3 linked regions of the Drosophila melanogaster genome follow. The protein of the gene in region 3 purifies or fractionates together with the protein of the main gene of each other region. This does not show direct contact. Each region holds a gene or a part of one and is shown on either strand. Other genes may lie near its edges.

Region 1 (7,099 bases), on a different chromosome or scaffold from region 3:
AGGTGTCTACTACTATGGCTACGTGGTTTCCATCTCGCTATCCGGCTATCTGGCAGATCGGTGCAGCAGCAAGCGGCTGTTCATCGTGTCCCTGATCTTCGAGGCTGTGGCCTACATACTGCTCCCAGCAATGGCGCACTCTAGTTTCGAGGCCGGAGTGGTTGATCTGGTCATCTGTGGTTTACTGGCGGTAAGGAATAGCATCATTCAGATACTAATAGATATATATAGATCCTGCTACTTGACAGGGCTGTGGAAATCCGGCAATGTATAAACTGTTCGTGACCTGGGCTCATCCCACAGAGAGAACAGCGCTCCTGTCCTTCGCCTACAGTGGTCTTCTGATGGGCTCCATGTTGGTTTACCCGGTGGCCAGTTATCTGAGCAACTTCGGCTGGGAACTGTCCTTCTATGTAGTCGGTGGAGTTGGCCTCTCATTCGGCATTGCCTGCTGCTTTCTCGTTTACGACACCGTGGAGCAACATCCAAGGATATCGAATGAGGAGGTGGATTACCTGAGGCAGGGCAAGAGTCAATTGGGACAGCAGCGGCAGCCAGTGAGTAGTTCCTTGTACTTTTAACTTTAAAATTATAAATTAATTAGCTTCTTTTTAGGTGGTAACCATTCCCTGGAAGAGCCTGCTCGCCGCGCCGCCCGTCTACGCCTTCATCCTGACCCACATGTTCCACACCTACACCTTCCTGGTGATTGTGCAACTGATGCCGCGATTTATGCGCGAGGCCATGGAGTTCGATCTCCGCGAGGTGGGCTTCCTCTCGGCGGCGCCGTATCTGGGCGGGATCTGCTCGAAGGTGATGTGCATCCTGGGTGGCAGCTATGTGGAACGACGCGTGGGTCCTGACCAGAATTGTGTGCGAAGAATGCTGTACGGGATCTGTAAGGCATACCGATAATCGGAGTGCCACAGACATCTATAAAGAACACCTTCCCTTAGTGGATTCCTATATAGATTTCCGTAGCATCTCCAGAAACATCACCAATCTCTCTTTTATATCCCATTTTATAATACCAGGCAGCATCCTGACCACTTCTTTGATTGGGGTCATCATCCTGGCTAATTGTGATGACAAAATACTAGTACTTGTGATGTTTGCCTTCATGATGGCCACTACGGATATGGGTTTCAGTGGCTACTGGCCCACGCTGCTCTACTTTGCGCCCTCCTTCGCGGGATTGCTATCGGGATTGGCCAATGGAATGGCCCATCTTTCCGGATTCTTAGCTCCCCATCTTGTGGCCGCTCTGGTCCACACTGTAAGTTTAAATACAAGTAGTTTATGATTAAACTGATTTATTTATGTACCTCGCAGGGCAGCAAGGATGAGTGGAATGTGGTGTTGATGACGCTGATTGTCTTTAATACGATGGCCATGTTGGTATTTGCATTTTGCAGCAGTACGAACCTACAACCTTGGGATCCTCGTAGCAGAATGGAGAAAACTGCATCACCAAGTGCTCAGGAATCAAATAGTTAGCACTTATTTGTTTAAATGTTTTAACTTTTTTGTACTTTCGAAGCATTTTATTTGTTTACTATAAATGTAGAGTTAATTGTGTTAAAATAAAAACAAAATAAATGTAAATATACAATATACATATCAATTTAGTTTAAAATGATAATTGAACTTTCTTCAACGCAATCTTCAAATAAAATTTTTAAAAACCGCGCCTAGCACATAGTATCTTTCAATCTTATCGATAGTTTTACCGTTGTATAAAGCAAGCTGACAAATGTTTCACAACGACCAGTTTTCTACATTTCAAGTACAAAATTACACAAATATTCAATAATTCAAAAATATGTGTGAAAGCAGACATCTATTGGCAGTCAATGTACTAAATGCTCATATTCTTTACACGCCAATCGATAGCTGTTTGATTTGACGCATAGATTTGGTTTGAGTCCCGGCTGAGAACTGTAAGACGAAGAAATAGCTCATTTACCTACTTTAATGGTGCTAAATCGCATATATCACAATGCTTTAGGAAAAGTATTAATATTTCTAGAAAGCGTATGCTATAACTCTTTGTGCTATACTATATATAGGTGGAAAGACATCGATAGTCGCAGGGGAGTATCGATGCATCGATAGTGCCATCGATGTTTCTCCACCTTGCTTTATTAATCATTTCAATTTTTTTTCAATTCGGTTGCTTGACGTTCACTGACGTGATTCCGCACACAGCACATAGTCGAATACGTTTCGCAATAGAAATATCAAAATTCTCCGTGTGGACTCAATCTGGATTGGATGCAACACTAAATTACCAGTGTTTTCCTCGATTTTCTAGCGACGCAAAATTCTCAGTACAACCCAAAAAAAAAACGGAGAGTCTCTTCAACAACAAAATCAAGCATCATCGATAAAAACAACAAGTCTCCCGGAGGAAGTGGCTCCAAAATATCCAGTGCAACAGCGGACGAACTTCTCGGCAGGATTGAGAGTGAGTAGATCGGATTAAACAAATTAAATAATCCCAAACATTGTACATATGTATATACATTTATTTGTGCGCGGGGAAAGGCGGAAGTCAGAGAACTTGGCTTCCTGGTTTTTCATTTACCTTTTGGCGCTTCCGCCAAAACACTTAAACGTTCACTTAAAACCGCTTCTGGACAAATCAATAAAGGCCAAGTGTCGGATCGGACATTACCTTGGTGTTCCCTACTTACACTTGAAAAAATTTCGTTTAACATGGTAATAAAATTAATCAAGGCTATTTATTGCACATCACAAAGAAAGTTTATGACTTTATCAGTTAATTAACTACAATACAAGGGTATAAAAGTCAATTGCTTTTCAAAATGTCTCAATATAATAAAATTTAAAATCATTTCATATGCCTAACATATACATATACATATATCATCTTTCAAACCTACTAGTAGAAATTCGAATTTATAATTACCAAGTAAAGTGATTTATTGCCTTGAGTGTACTTCAAATAAAACATTAAATGCTAGAAGTCTACTTTTTTTCTTCCTGTGTACGTGTGCGTGGGCCAAGCTAGACTCCAAGTACACGAACCCCAAGAATATTAATGTTTAAACTTTAAACACTTGTTACCTTGAATGAAACAGTGCGCTGTATGTATTATCATTGCCGCTGCTGTTGTTGCTCTTTTTTTTGGGTTGAGGGAGGTTCATTCAATCGGGCACACCAACACCACTGCACTTGAGAGCCCATTTGTGTGTGTGTTTGTTGTTGCCTCCTTTGTGTTTTCTGCATATTCACTTTACATACTAAATGTATGCACGAATTTCGTCAAGTCCGCCGTGCAAATACATTTTAATTTTCGCAATTTCATTTAAAATATGGACGCTTAACTTAACATCTACTTGCAATTCGATGTGCTTCACTCGTGTGCGTGTGTGTGGCAGCACGTACACCAGTAAAGGGCCAGAGTTGCCATCCTAACTTCTTTTTTCCAAGCACTTTGTCTTGCTGATAAAAGCAGCTGATTTTTATAAATAAATAAGTAAAAGTTGGAAGACGCAAAAAATTCAATTTATTGATAGTGCGATTTGACCTACCAAAGGCAATAAAAATCTAGAATGGAGAGTAATCATTATCTTGTGTGGAATAAACATTCACGCAAAACTTGCCTATGTATGGAGAACTGTAAACAAATATTCGCACAGCCGCGGGTAACGAACTAGGCCCTCAATAAAAATAAATAACAAAATATATTATTTTCGATACAAACAATTCATAAAAAATGTCAAACATTTGCTCTTAAACTGACGTGCAATTATTAGTGCGCAAATATTGTAAGCAGAGTAAAAAAGAATGAAATTACGTGATTAAAATATTAATGTCCTAAAACTGTATTATAAAAATATGTACACAATCGAACGTTACAGGCACGTTCAACATGATAGCTAAGCCCACAAACTCCTCCGATGACAATCATCGCCTTTGGCTTATTGCGTTTTGCATAAATACCGCTCTTGACTTTCGTGTTATTTCACACGTTTGCTTGTTTGTTTTTAGCTGATAGCGGCATTTATATACGCCATAAAATGTTTAGCGGGGCTAGAAGTGATACGAGTTGTGAGCCTATACATTTCTAATCGGATGTAGTACTGAATTATAGACTACATTATATGTATATAGCATACAAGTATGTCCACTTATTTGGGGCTCTTTTCGCTTTTGCACCAAAAGCTGAGTCACTTTGTTTTCAAATTTTTGTGTGCCGCGGCCACAACGCAAAAAATAGACATCACTAAACAAAAAAACGTTGCGCAAAAAGAAAAGAGAAAATGTTCACTTATTTATATAAACAAATAGGTATTAGTGTTAGCCACTACACCTGTATAGGTGCGATTTTTGTTTTGTTTATCTCGTGGTAATGACGGAAAACCGGTTTCGTAGAACGAAAACACAACTGCTCCGGCTTCTTGCCGGTTAAATACGATTTGTTTAAATACAGAAGAGCCTGCCTAAGTCAAACGAAGCTAAAAAAAAATTCATTCAATTCATTCAGTAGCACAGCAGAAGAATTTGTATTTTCAATATTCGTTGGAGTAGGCTACAAGAAATATGTATGTTTGAGAACCTCAGAAAAACTCTGAAACTCCTGAGATTAAGTTGTAATTAAGCAATTTATAAATCAATCGAATGCCTTATATATAGACATATTTCCGTGGCACCTCAGATTCAAATGTTTAAATTGTATTTATTAATATAATATATTTCTCATAGTTTGAGCTTAATCGTTGAAATATTAAGAAATATGAGACCAACTGTTGATAAGTTCGCTTTTAGTAATCCAAAATCCCTTACAGCCAATATGTTGTTAAAAGTGCCATCTGTGGACTGGACGGATCAAATAATTTACGTAGTGGACGACGACGAGTCGCTGTCAGACATCGACGATGAGCCAGATTTTTCCGAATACATGTGGATGGAGAACGAGGAGGAGTTCGACAAGAACGTAAGATTAAATCTCCTATTTATGATTAACGAATTAACTAATACATTTGCTATCTGATAATAGGAACTGCAACGGCTGGAGGAGGAAGAGATTATGCAGGAGTGTTTTGAAGCCATGATAGAAGACGAGCTGGAGGAGCAGATCAACGAATGGGAGAAGGCCAAGTGAGTAGTGGCTATCCGGTTAACATTGCTGAATTAAAGCTAATTTGCAATCGCTTATTTCAGGACGGACGAGCAGAACACGGCACTTTCCGCACTACCCAAGAGCCAGTGTGATGTTGAAAAGTCTGTTCTGAATCCGATGGCTGATGAGTTTGTTCCGCGTTGTCATGTTATAGATTTCCCTGCCTCATAAAGCCAGCCCATATCTCCTGCCCGCCACAGAATCACAAACTACCCCGAACCCGTACCACGTGGACCTCATACGCGAAAAACCTTAGATAAACTGAAGACCCATTGCTAAGACTAGACTAACAGATTCCGCTAATGAGATTGATATTGATATTCTGACCAAGTTGAGCCAGATGGAGCATTGGGAGCAGTGGCTCATGAATATCTTATTTCTAGATACCAAAATGCTGGAAAAGAAAACTAAATATACCAACAAACTCCAAATGCTGGCGACCGAAATGCAAACGAATCATATTAAAAAAAAAACCTTATAAAAAACAACTGAACCACTGCAAAAATACAAAAAATATGTTTAAAAGAAAAACCAACAAAGAAACAAAAACACAACTTAAACTAAGAACAGACAAATAACAAAATAACAACTATGCCACGTACATTAGAGTACATTGAAATTAGAGTTAAAACCGAATTGTTTGCCGTGAAATTCGGAGCCCCAGAAATTCCGAACCTAAAATGTTATCGAGAAACGCAGACGCAGGCGCTTGCTGAAGCTAGTGAAAACTTTGGTATTAACGTACAAAACGAAAACAAATGACTTTTTACAAGCAACTAAATCTAAACTACAACTAAACTATGCCAATTTCCAGCTAAAGCAACTGTAAGCAACAAACAAGACTCGATTGTGTTAGAAACAAACCAAGAATTTGTAGCCGTCATGTCGTTAAATTGAAATTCTATTCAAAGACTTTAATCGTAGTTTAAATTGTAATTAATTTAACGTCCCGCCCACTGTCTACACTCGATTTAAGTTGATCATCTTTTTTTAATCTTTCACCATTGTTAACTCGTTGTACGTTCTATGCCCAAGTAACAAGAAGCGCTTGTTAACCTTCCCTACTGACTCGCAATATTTGTAATTTACCAATATAATCTAGTGAACTAAACGAATCGATATACTAATGTTTAACGCCTCTTTATACAAACATCATGCATAAATATGTATATCTAGTGTTAATGGAGGAGACAACAGACAACAACAACGCTGCAATAACAAGTAGTTTGTAATTTTAAGTATAAAATTCGTTTGATGCAAATGCACAAAGCCCTCATCGATTTGTTAATATCGTTAAAATTCGTTTCGGCATGTAGACAAAGATGAATTTCTATTTTTTCAATCAACTTAGATTTAGTGACTTAAGACAGCATTATAAGATCTACTACATTACTTACGTTACGTGTGATATAAAGATACAAAAAAACAAAGCAAAAAAAATATCAAAAATGATTTTAAAAATCTCAATAAAAAGAAGTATTATTATGGCATAAAAACTTGGTAGTTTTATTTTTTTTATATTTTTTTTCTTGCATAGATACTATGGAAAGTGAATCAGAAAGATAATCGAATTTACTGATCTTCATTTATTTTATTAGCATCTGAATTATTATATCATATTGGAAGAGCATGAAAATAATAAGATCTCTAAACATTAAAAATATTCTTTATCAAAATTTCATTGCACGCTTAATCATAACTTTTTACATACTTTTCATACGAATCTATTACTTTACACGAATAAATAAAGAATATATAGTATACGTAAGTTGTTGCGGAAAGGTTTTTGTAATTAAGCAATATAAAAGAAAAACATCCTAAAATCGGATAAATAATAAACAATGATTTGTAGTAATTGAAATTTGATAAAGTTTTTATTGCTTATAAAATGTTTTCAATTTCAAGAATACCGCTAATGCACTGCACTTTCGATAAGTTTTGTGTGGAACA
Region 2 (3,299 bases), on a different chromosome or scaffold from region 3:
CGAAACGGGAGCCTTGGGTCTCCAAGACCTTTAGATCCGCCAACATGCACACGAACTTTACCTTTAAATATGGGCGAGTTGAGATTAGAGCTAAAATGCCCAAAGGCGATTGGTTGTTTCCAAGTGAGTGGATATTTAGTTTTTATAGCTGGTAATCACTACATGGTTTTGATTACTTTAGACATTCTTCTGGTGCCCCGTATGGATAAGGCGGATGACGATTTTTTCGATCATATTCGCTTGTACGCCAGGGGAAATTTACTATGGGGACGGATTTCACGACTATTATCTGGCAGACTGACAAAATTATCTTTAAGTTCGATGGCGAGTTCTTCGGAGCAGTAAACAATCCGACACTTCTTGAACCATTTCGAAAACATGAGGTAAGACGCCTTCCTCTAAAAGATGTAATATCTCTATGATCTTTCGTTTTTAGTGCCATCTAGTCCTTGGCCTAACCGCCGGCGGCAATGTTAATTTCAATGACGACATTCTAGAAATGAAACACAAGCCCTTTTTAAACACCCACCCCAAAACTGACAAACAATTCGAGGAGTTGTCTAGAAATTCGGACTGGACACCCCTAGTGGTCGACCATATCCGGGTGTTTGCCATTGATAAGGAAGGAAAATAACCAAAATATATACTCTTTAAGTTGTAAAATATAAAACTAAGGCTTGCTTTCATATTATTACATTGAATTACTTCATTTAGCACCAGGAAAGTCTATGTTTAAAAGCGCCTATTTGCTGAAAAGTTATATTACCCTTGTCCTATGATATCTAGATATTAATTGATTAGATATTGCCACTAACTGCTGTCCTATTCAAATGATCTCAAAGAAGAGTAGGGGTCGATCACCAAAATCCCATTAGTTTAGAATACATTGGTGACTGATTTAAAGGTGTACTTTTATGGCAGAATAAACTACGAAAATGATTGTTAGCTCTGACTAAAAGGTTTTGCCATTGTTCTTCTTGGAGCCGTTGTTCCTTGAGTTCTGGTTTGATTTCTTTCGACGCTTGTCGGACGACCAGTCCACGTCATCCTCATCATCAGTGCCTCCGGTATTTCCCGAAGAGTGCAGGTGGGCGGATGTGGCGCCCTCTTTGGTGGCCAAGCGACGAGAGGCAATTCGCGACGAGATACGACCCATGCCCATGCACTTTTCCAGGTGCGGGGCGAAGCGGGCGGCGGCCACCAGGCGATCACAGTTGGGGCAGGTGCAGTCCATTGGCTTTTTGGCCGTTGAGATGCCGAATATGTCCAGGTTGGGCATCTCGCACATTCGATAGGTTGAGTCCTCCGGCACTCCGTCCAGGGCGGCCAGATTCCCTGACTTTCGCAGATGATGTGTCTCGTTAAAGATTCCGACTACGGCGTCGTCGAGCAGCGACTGGTACAGATAGTTGGCCGCCTCGTCGAGGTTCTTCGGTTCCTTGATCAACTCCCGGAAGTGGTTTACAATCGTAGTGCTAGTTGTGGGAACTTGGTTTCCCGATCCCTGAGCTCCTGTTGTCGTCGGCATGTTGGCTGCAGACATAATAGTTGGCGCAAACACTATATCTATTTGCTTCTGGCTGTCTTCCTGTCTGCTCTGGAAGATTTGTTTGGCATGCCGGTTGTTGTTGTGGAACTACATAAGTTACTAATTGTGGGTTTGCTTAACACGGCTGTTTGCAAAATGAGAGAGTTGCCAGGCTGGTGCAAATAGGGGTAAATAGTTTTAAGGAACTAGATATTCAATTTAAATAGTTGCATCTAAAAGTAACAGCTTTAACCGTTATAGCAAATTATAAAATTTATATTATTAACCAATTTAAATAGTTTATATTTTCATTAACTTATAATTTTAAATGCATCAGGTTTTGTCATTTCATAAAACGAGTATGTAAAGTAATTATTATGACCAGTTAAATCTTAAATTAAAGACAATTATGTCAAGCAGTTTTTATGCACTTTTGCTAAATTTAGTTCAATAAGTGAACTAGTCCTTTTTTGAATAAATATGACGTGGCAACGCCTGTACCGACAGACGGAGCAAGAAGAAAATCGCCCATCTGGCCACACTGAGCCATGGCGTAAATAAAAACATTTCTAAATATTGAACTATAACCAATATCTGTATAAAATGTTGCTAAATAAGAAAGAACTCATGTACAAACAGCTGGTGGAAAAACTGTATGACAGGTGCCAAAGGATTCAGGCGGAAAATGAGCGATGTGTGATGAGGTAACCGTCATTTTTATGCTCCACGAAACGTAAACAAAAATGTGCAGTACCTTTTATCCAGAGTAAATGGGATCAAAAAGATAGTAAGAAGGCGCAATCATGACGTGGAGCTTCTAAAACGGCGACTAGATAAGCACGGAGACGACTGGCGATCCGTTCCCATGGAGGCTCCACATCCCAAAGGGAAAACCGAGCAGAAGCGTCGAGGACCGAAGCCCAAAAACAAGCAGGCGGCGGATGAAACAGGAGCACCCGGGTCTGAGCCTGGACCCAATACTCCAGCTGCCCGGAAACCCCGAAAGCAAAAAGCCAAACAGGCACCCATCAATCCCAATCCAGTCATTGCACCACCGCATCAACAACCTCAACCTCCACTGTTGACCTGAGTCATAGCGATTGCTTGGCGTGTTCTAGTTTTAAGATAAAGGGCTTGTATACTTTTAAATATAATATTAAGACAAATAAAAGCTAAGACCAGAAATGAATTATAGTAACCAAAGCAATGAAAGTTGTGATTGCTGCAGAACCATTTCTATTTCCAAATTATGCTATATCTTTCCAAGTAAACAAGTTACAAAAATTGGCAGGTCTTCAAATAACTATAACAACAAAGCCTTTAAAACATGATTATCGTATATTGCATTAGAAAAGCATGTAAATCATAATCCGTTTGAAGCCTATACAAACAGCACACTTACACTTAAAGATTCATGGCAATTCTTCTGATTATGGTAGACAAAGCAGCATCGATAGACTTCCAATCACTGAGTTTATACTTATTTATATTTTGAATGTACTTAATTGCTAAAACAGAAATTCAACGGGCAGGGCGTCGCTATTTTTATTCAGCCTGGCGGAGACGTGCCAGTCGCTGGGTGAGCTCGTCTTGCTCTTGGGACACTGCTGTCGAGGCTCCAACGGATTGGCTCTGAACTCCGCTGGGCAGCTCCATGTTGAGTTCGAGGCCAGCCTCGTCGGCCACTTGCTGGAGCAGATTGTCGACATCTCCCTGAGGCACCGAGGTGGTTACCGTGTCGGACATGGTGCCCTCCATTACCGAGCTCTGG
Region 3 (5,064 bases):
GCTGTGGCGCAAGGCGGTCCAAAAATAGAGTTATATACTGGTGGTCTGCTCAATCTGGGACTGCGGCCCAATTATGTGGTCCCGACTACATTTCGACCAAGCTATCCGACTGCGCTGAAATTTGGAAATCATCCGGAATTGGAAAGATTCCCATCACACAGCGGTGATTTGGGTAATGCTGGTAATGTTGGTCCAGCGGTCCCTGGGGATTTGGCAGGCATTTCGGGCGCTGTAACCCATCATTTCCATCACCATTTCTATGTGGCACCTGGTGCCGGCGATGCCCAATTGCATCCGGAATTGGGCTACCGCTTGCCCAACTCCTCGCCACCGCAACCGATCACACCGGCTGGCAATCCGTCCTCAAACTTATATACCCATCATCAGACAGTGCAGTTTCCCAGCTCCAATTCGGGTTCTTCCGAATCTCTGGAGGAACAAGATCAGGATTTACTGCTGCGGACACCACAAATTTATGGGCAGGCTTCCAAGTATCAAACAGCCAAGCTGCCACCTTTGCTTATCTATGCGGGCGGCAATTCCGGCGATGATGACAAGTCCTTTGTGCAAAGCGAACCGCTGGAGGAGACCGTCTATCGCTATTCCGAGCCGGATCCTTTATATGTCCACCAGAACCCCATCGATGTGCTGCAGGATAAGCAGCCGCCGGAGGAGGAAACCGATAAGGGACAGCATCAGGAGCAGGCAAGTGACCAAAAGCGAGGGGAACAGCGCCCAGTGGTCAGTTTGGAGCAGCCCGAACTGAGCACAACTGTTTCAGCGCCATCTTCCAACGCTGGCACAACCACTGAGACTGCAAGCACTGAGAGATCCACACACGTCATCCCCACCACGATCGCCAGTTTTGTGTCCACCTCCACGCACTTTAGTCCATTGCGCTCCATTAGTAGGTATCGCACCACGCCAAAGATAACAGCTGGACGATCCACCACAACCACTACATCCACCAGCACGGAACCACCGCTGAATAAGTGGGCCAAGCGGCGAAAGGAGCAGGACAGCAAGGCCAAGAGCAGTCACCGCCACGAAGCCTTCGTTAGCACCACTTCGTCAACCAGCACGACAACTTCAACCACAGCAACTCCGCCGTCCACAATCGCTGCATCCACTGGCGTTCCATTGGCGTCGCCACTGCCACCGGCACCATCCAAGGAAGTGGTGGAGGTGCTCACCCAGAAATCGGTTAGTCGATCTGTGAGCATCAAGGTGGGCGAGAACGGCGAGGAGATACCCATCATTGTGGACGACGAGGAGAACGAGGTGAAGCCAGTGCTGACTAATTAGCTGCCTACCCATCTATCTTAAATCCTAATTATCCTATCCTATATTTAAGCCTAGCCGTAAGCACACTTAATCCCACAATAAATTCAAGTAATCCGTACGGCACGGGGTCAGACTCACCTGCCTCCTCGTTGGCGTACTTGTAATTGGGCACTGGCGTCAAGGGAATCAACTTGGCATAAGTCGTTGGCATCATTTCCGTAATGCGCTGATGATACGAAAGGCTGTCAAAGATGTATGTAGTTGAGTATCAATGGTTTGTACACAGACACGGTTATAACCTACCGTAGGCACTTCTGCAACACCTCCTGGATGAATTTGGGACGCGGATGCTCGCCGTCGAGGAGCAGACAGCTGTCCCATTCGTCCCATGACCATGTGAACTTGAAGTTGCTCAGATGATAGGAGAACCAATTGACGAACCGATCGAAACATGACGTGTTCATCGAGTCGATGCGCATAAAGAGGATCTCGGTGGCCTGGGCCAGAACCTGGGGCAGCGTGGCCGGCTGCAGTTTGCAGAGTTCGATCAAAATGGAGCCGTAGCAGATGTCCAGATAGCGCGGCGTGGGCATATGAAAGAGCTCGGCGAAGACCACCTCGACGATGCAGTACTCCAGCGGGATCTTGTGCTTGTACGGAAAGCTAAGCAGCTGGGCGGCGCAATCCTTTCGCTCGTGATGGTATGTTTCAATGATATGGTGTAGATGCTCCTCAATCAAAAAGCGCTCTATTGAGTGGGCACCCGGCAGATTGGGCCCATCGGGGCAGTCGGTGTAGTCGAACATGCGGTACACCACCCAGGGCATGGGATACTCAAAGTTGTCGTGATGCGGCGGCGGCACAATCGTGGGCAGATTGTGCTGCAGTGCCTCGCAAAGTATTGAATCGAATACGAGATAGGGTCGTGGTATATGCTTCTCCGCCCAATTGTCCTGCCGCAACTTGCGTATCTGCGCCCACAGGCAGTCCAAGTACTCCTCCTGTGGATGCGGAGCGTCTGAGGACCACACCCTCAGCGCATTATGGTGCTTCTTTGAGCGTTTGTTTAGATAGACCTCGATCCTAAGCAACAGGGACTCCAGGGCAGACTCCTTCTTCTCGTAGAGATCGCGACCCACCCAGGGTAGCGTGGAGAGCACAGCAAAGACGAACCAATCGCGACGCACCTGGGGCACTGTATCCTCGTTGGAGACATCGATCATGGTGTCCAGCAGCTGGAGGAGACTGGTGGCCGAAATGACGTGGCAATTGACCAGGTCGGCCAGAAAGCGCAGCGAGTAGCGGGCGGCATCCCAGCGGCACATCTTGAGGGACTCCTTGAAGGTCTTCACCATGTGATCCACGAACTCGCCGCCAAACTTGTAGTTCTTGGCATTGAGCAGGCCCACCAACGTGGTGTAAACGGTACACTTCTCTGGCATTCGCACGGCGCAGTCGGACAGGATGCGCAGGATCTTCAGGCGAAACGTGCCCAGATCGGCCTCCAGAACGGAGACGAGTCCCTCTAGGTTCGATTCCACGGAGGAGGTGCTACGCTCGCCCACCCGCAGTATCAGCGACTCCAGACGATCCTCGATCTCCTGGTTTTCGGACACACGTCTACGCTTGTTGCGCCGATGATCTGCAATTAAATGCCCCCATAAATGCTTTGCGTTCATGATTACATCGATGCCCACTTACCATAGCCCTCATCCTCCGTGTCGTGAGCCCTCCTGCGACTCATCTTCCCGTGAATTTTCTGTGAATTTTGCGGAAAACACCGATTACCGATTGGTCCTTGGCCACCGGCAGACAGAAAAGCACGCTGATGGGTACACCTCTTGGACCTGGACTTTTTCGGGGATCCTGGACAGGATACGCTTGACGGATGGGCCTTGTTGGTGCGTCTAGTATTTCACTGCGAGCGTCAATTAGCTTGCCAACTTTCAAAACAGCTTTGTCACAATTTTCACAAAAAACGCGATGCGATGCTATTTTTTTTTTTTGCCAAAGAACTAAAGATGTGCCGCCATCGATGGCAGGGTTTATCGATAACAGCGGCGGCGTAAGCGGCGGACTGAAAATGGGGCCTGAATAAACGTTTTCTTTGGCGCCATATGCGCAGAATTGCGGCATACTCAATTAACCAAAACATACCACTGACTGACTTACAATAAAAATCTGTTGAATGCCACTGCTACACAACTATCGATAGAAACGGTTGCCGGCAAGTGCTGCAATCTAGTCTTATGCTGCCTATCGCTTTTGCCCATCTATACATTCCACCGCGGAATTTTCCTTGCATTTTATGATGAGCTTTCCACGCATGTTATCACTGTGCCTTAGCGTGCTTGTAATACTGCCGCTTCCCCTCCAGTCGGTGGATCCCCTGACCATTGGTGCCGTTGGCGCCGTGGCCCTTGGGGCGTACTTCAAAGAACATACATATTGCCGGTTTGCCGAATGCTGCGATGACCGAAACATTCCGGCGAGAATAGATGGTGAGTGAGTAGTTTTGTATGCAACAAAATGACTAACCAGTACAGTGGGTAATTACAGAATTAGAAAGATCCCTGGAACGCACCCTCATTGGCCAGCACATCGTGAGGCAGCATATCGTCCCCGCACTGAAGGCGCACATCGCTTCGGGCAATAAGTCACGGAAACCGCTGGTCATCAGCTTTCACGGCCAGCCCGGTACGGGCAAGAATTTTGTGGCTGAGCAAATTGCAGATGCTATGTATTTGAAGGGCTCCAGGTCGAACTATGTAACCAAGTATCTCGGACAAGCTGACTTTCCCAAGGAAAGTGAGGTGTCTAACTATAGGGTGAAAATCAATAATGCGGTGCGCGATACCTTGCGTAGCTGCCCGAGATCTTTGTTCATCTTCGACGAGGTGGATAAAATGCCCAGCGGAGTATTCGACCAGCTCACCTCGCTGGTGGACTACAACGCCTTTGTCGATGGCACGGATAACACAAAGGCAATCTTCATCTTTCTCTCGAACACGGCGGGCAGTCATATAGCCAGTCATCTGGGTAGTGTGATGAAGAATGGTAGGCTGCGCGAGGACACACGACTGAGTGACTTTGAGCCCCTTTTGCGGAAGGCCGCCTATAACATGGATGGCGGTATGAAAAAGACCACCATGATTGAGTCTCATGTTATCGATCATTTCATTCCGTTCCTGCCGATGGAGAAGGCGCATGTGATCAAGTGCCTGGAGGCGGAGCTTTTAAGGTGGCGGCGCGATCCTAAGCAAGCGAACAACCAAAAAATCATTGAGGACATAATAAACTCCTCCATTAGTTACGATCGCACGCACAGCTTGTTCGCCATTTCGGGCTGCAAGACGCTGGAGAAGAAGGTGGCCATGGCCATTTACTGAGAAAGGACCGACCGACTCCACATTTTAATGCTTAGTTTGGGTTTCGGTTTGTATTTAAAAAACTATTTTTTCGGAATAAAGAAAACAAATTTTAACTACCAGGGATTTAGCCACTTGAGGCGGGCATCTTTGCGCAGCAGATCGGTATCCAGTCGCTTGGGCTGCTCGTCGTAATCCTGGCGAGCCGCCAGGCGGGTATCGATGGGTCCCAGGTCCTTGGTTACCAGGCACTCGCCGTTCTCCTTGAGTATCGTATGCCGGACATCCTGGGCAGTGGGCTCTCCGTAGGGGAACGTGACCGGCGTAACCTTAATTAGATGCTTGATCTTCCACAGGCGGGCATTGTTCTCCGGTATGTTCTTGACGACAGTAAAATCGCTCTGCTTTCCGT

The links.
Region 1: the proteins of Cbp80 (region 3) and Paip2 purify together in Drosophila melanogaster (affinity purification with mass spectrometry; one study listed by BioGRID). This does not show direct contact.
Region 2: the proteins of Cbp80 (region 3) and Sgf11 purify together in Drosophila melanogaster (affinity purification with western blotting; one study listed by BioGRID). This does not show direct contact.

The regions. Positions count from the first base shown.
Region 1 is NT_033777.3:12,978,921-12,986,019, forward strand, and holds Paip2 (polyA-binding protein interacting protein 2), read left to right. Parts: upstream 1-2,125; 5' UTR 2,126-2,467; intron 2,468-4,814; 5' UTR 4,815-4,819; coding exon 4,820-4,963; intron 4,964-5,026; coding exon 5,027-5,127; intron 5,128-5,190; coding exon 5,191-5,320; 3' UTR 5,321-6,568; downstream 6,569-7,099. Other genes in the region: CG7091 (uncharacterized protein), read left to right, coding at 1-190, 249-557, 616-898, 1,035-1,276, 1,333-1,497.
Region 2 is NT_037436.4:18,680,146-18,683,444, forward strand, and holds Sgf11 (SAGA associated factor 11kDa), read right to left. Parts: upstream 1,692-3,299; 5' UTR 1,544-1,691; coding exon 953-1,543; 3' UTR 892-952; downstream 1-891. Other genes in the region: CG32202 (uncharacterized protein), read left to right, coding at 2,132-2,232, 2,294-2,618; Chmp1 (charged multivesicular body protein 1), read right to left, coding at 3,074-3,299.
Region 3 is NC_004354.4:4,648,294-4,653,357, reverse strand, and holds the start of Cbp80 (cap binding protein 80), read right to left. Parts: upstream 3,309-5,064; 5' UTR 3,029-3,308; coding exon 2,986-3,028; intron 2,927-2,985; coding exon 1,588-2,926; intron 1,527-1,587; coding exon 1,423-1,526; intron 1,404-1,422; exon of another isoform or gene 1,306-1,403; coding exon of another isoform or gene 1-1,305. Other genes in the region: CG15473 (uncharacterized protein), read left to right, coding at 1-1,305; torsin, read left to right, coding at 3,593-3,785, 3,844-4,673; mRpL30 (mitochondrial ribosomal protein L30), read right to left, coding at 4,769-5,064. UniProt on the Drosophila melanogaster protein: Component of the cap-binding complex (CBC), which binds cotranscriptionally to the 5'-cap of pre-mRNAs and is involved in various processes such as pre-mRNA splicing and RNA-mediated gene silencing (RNAi).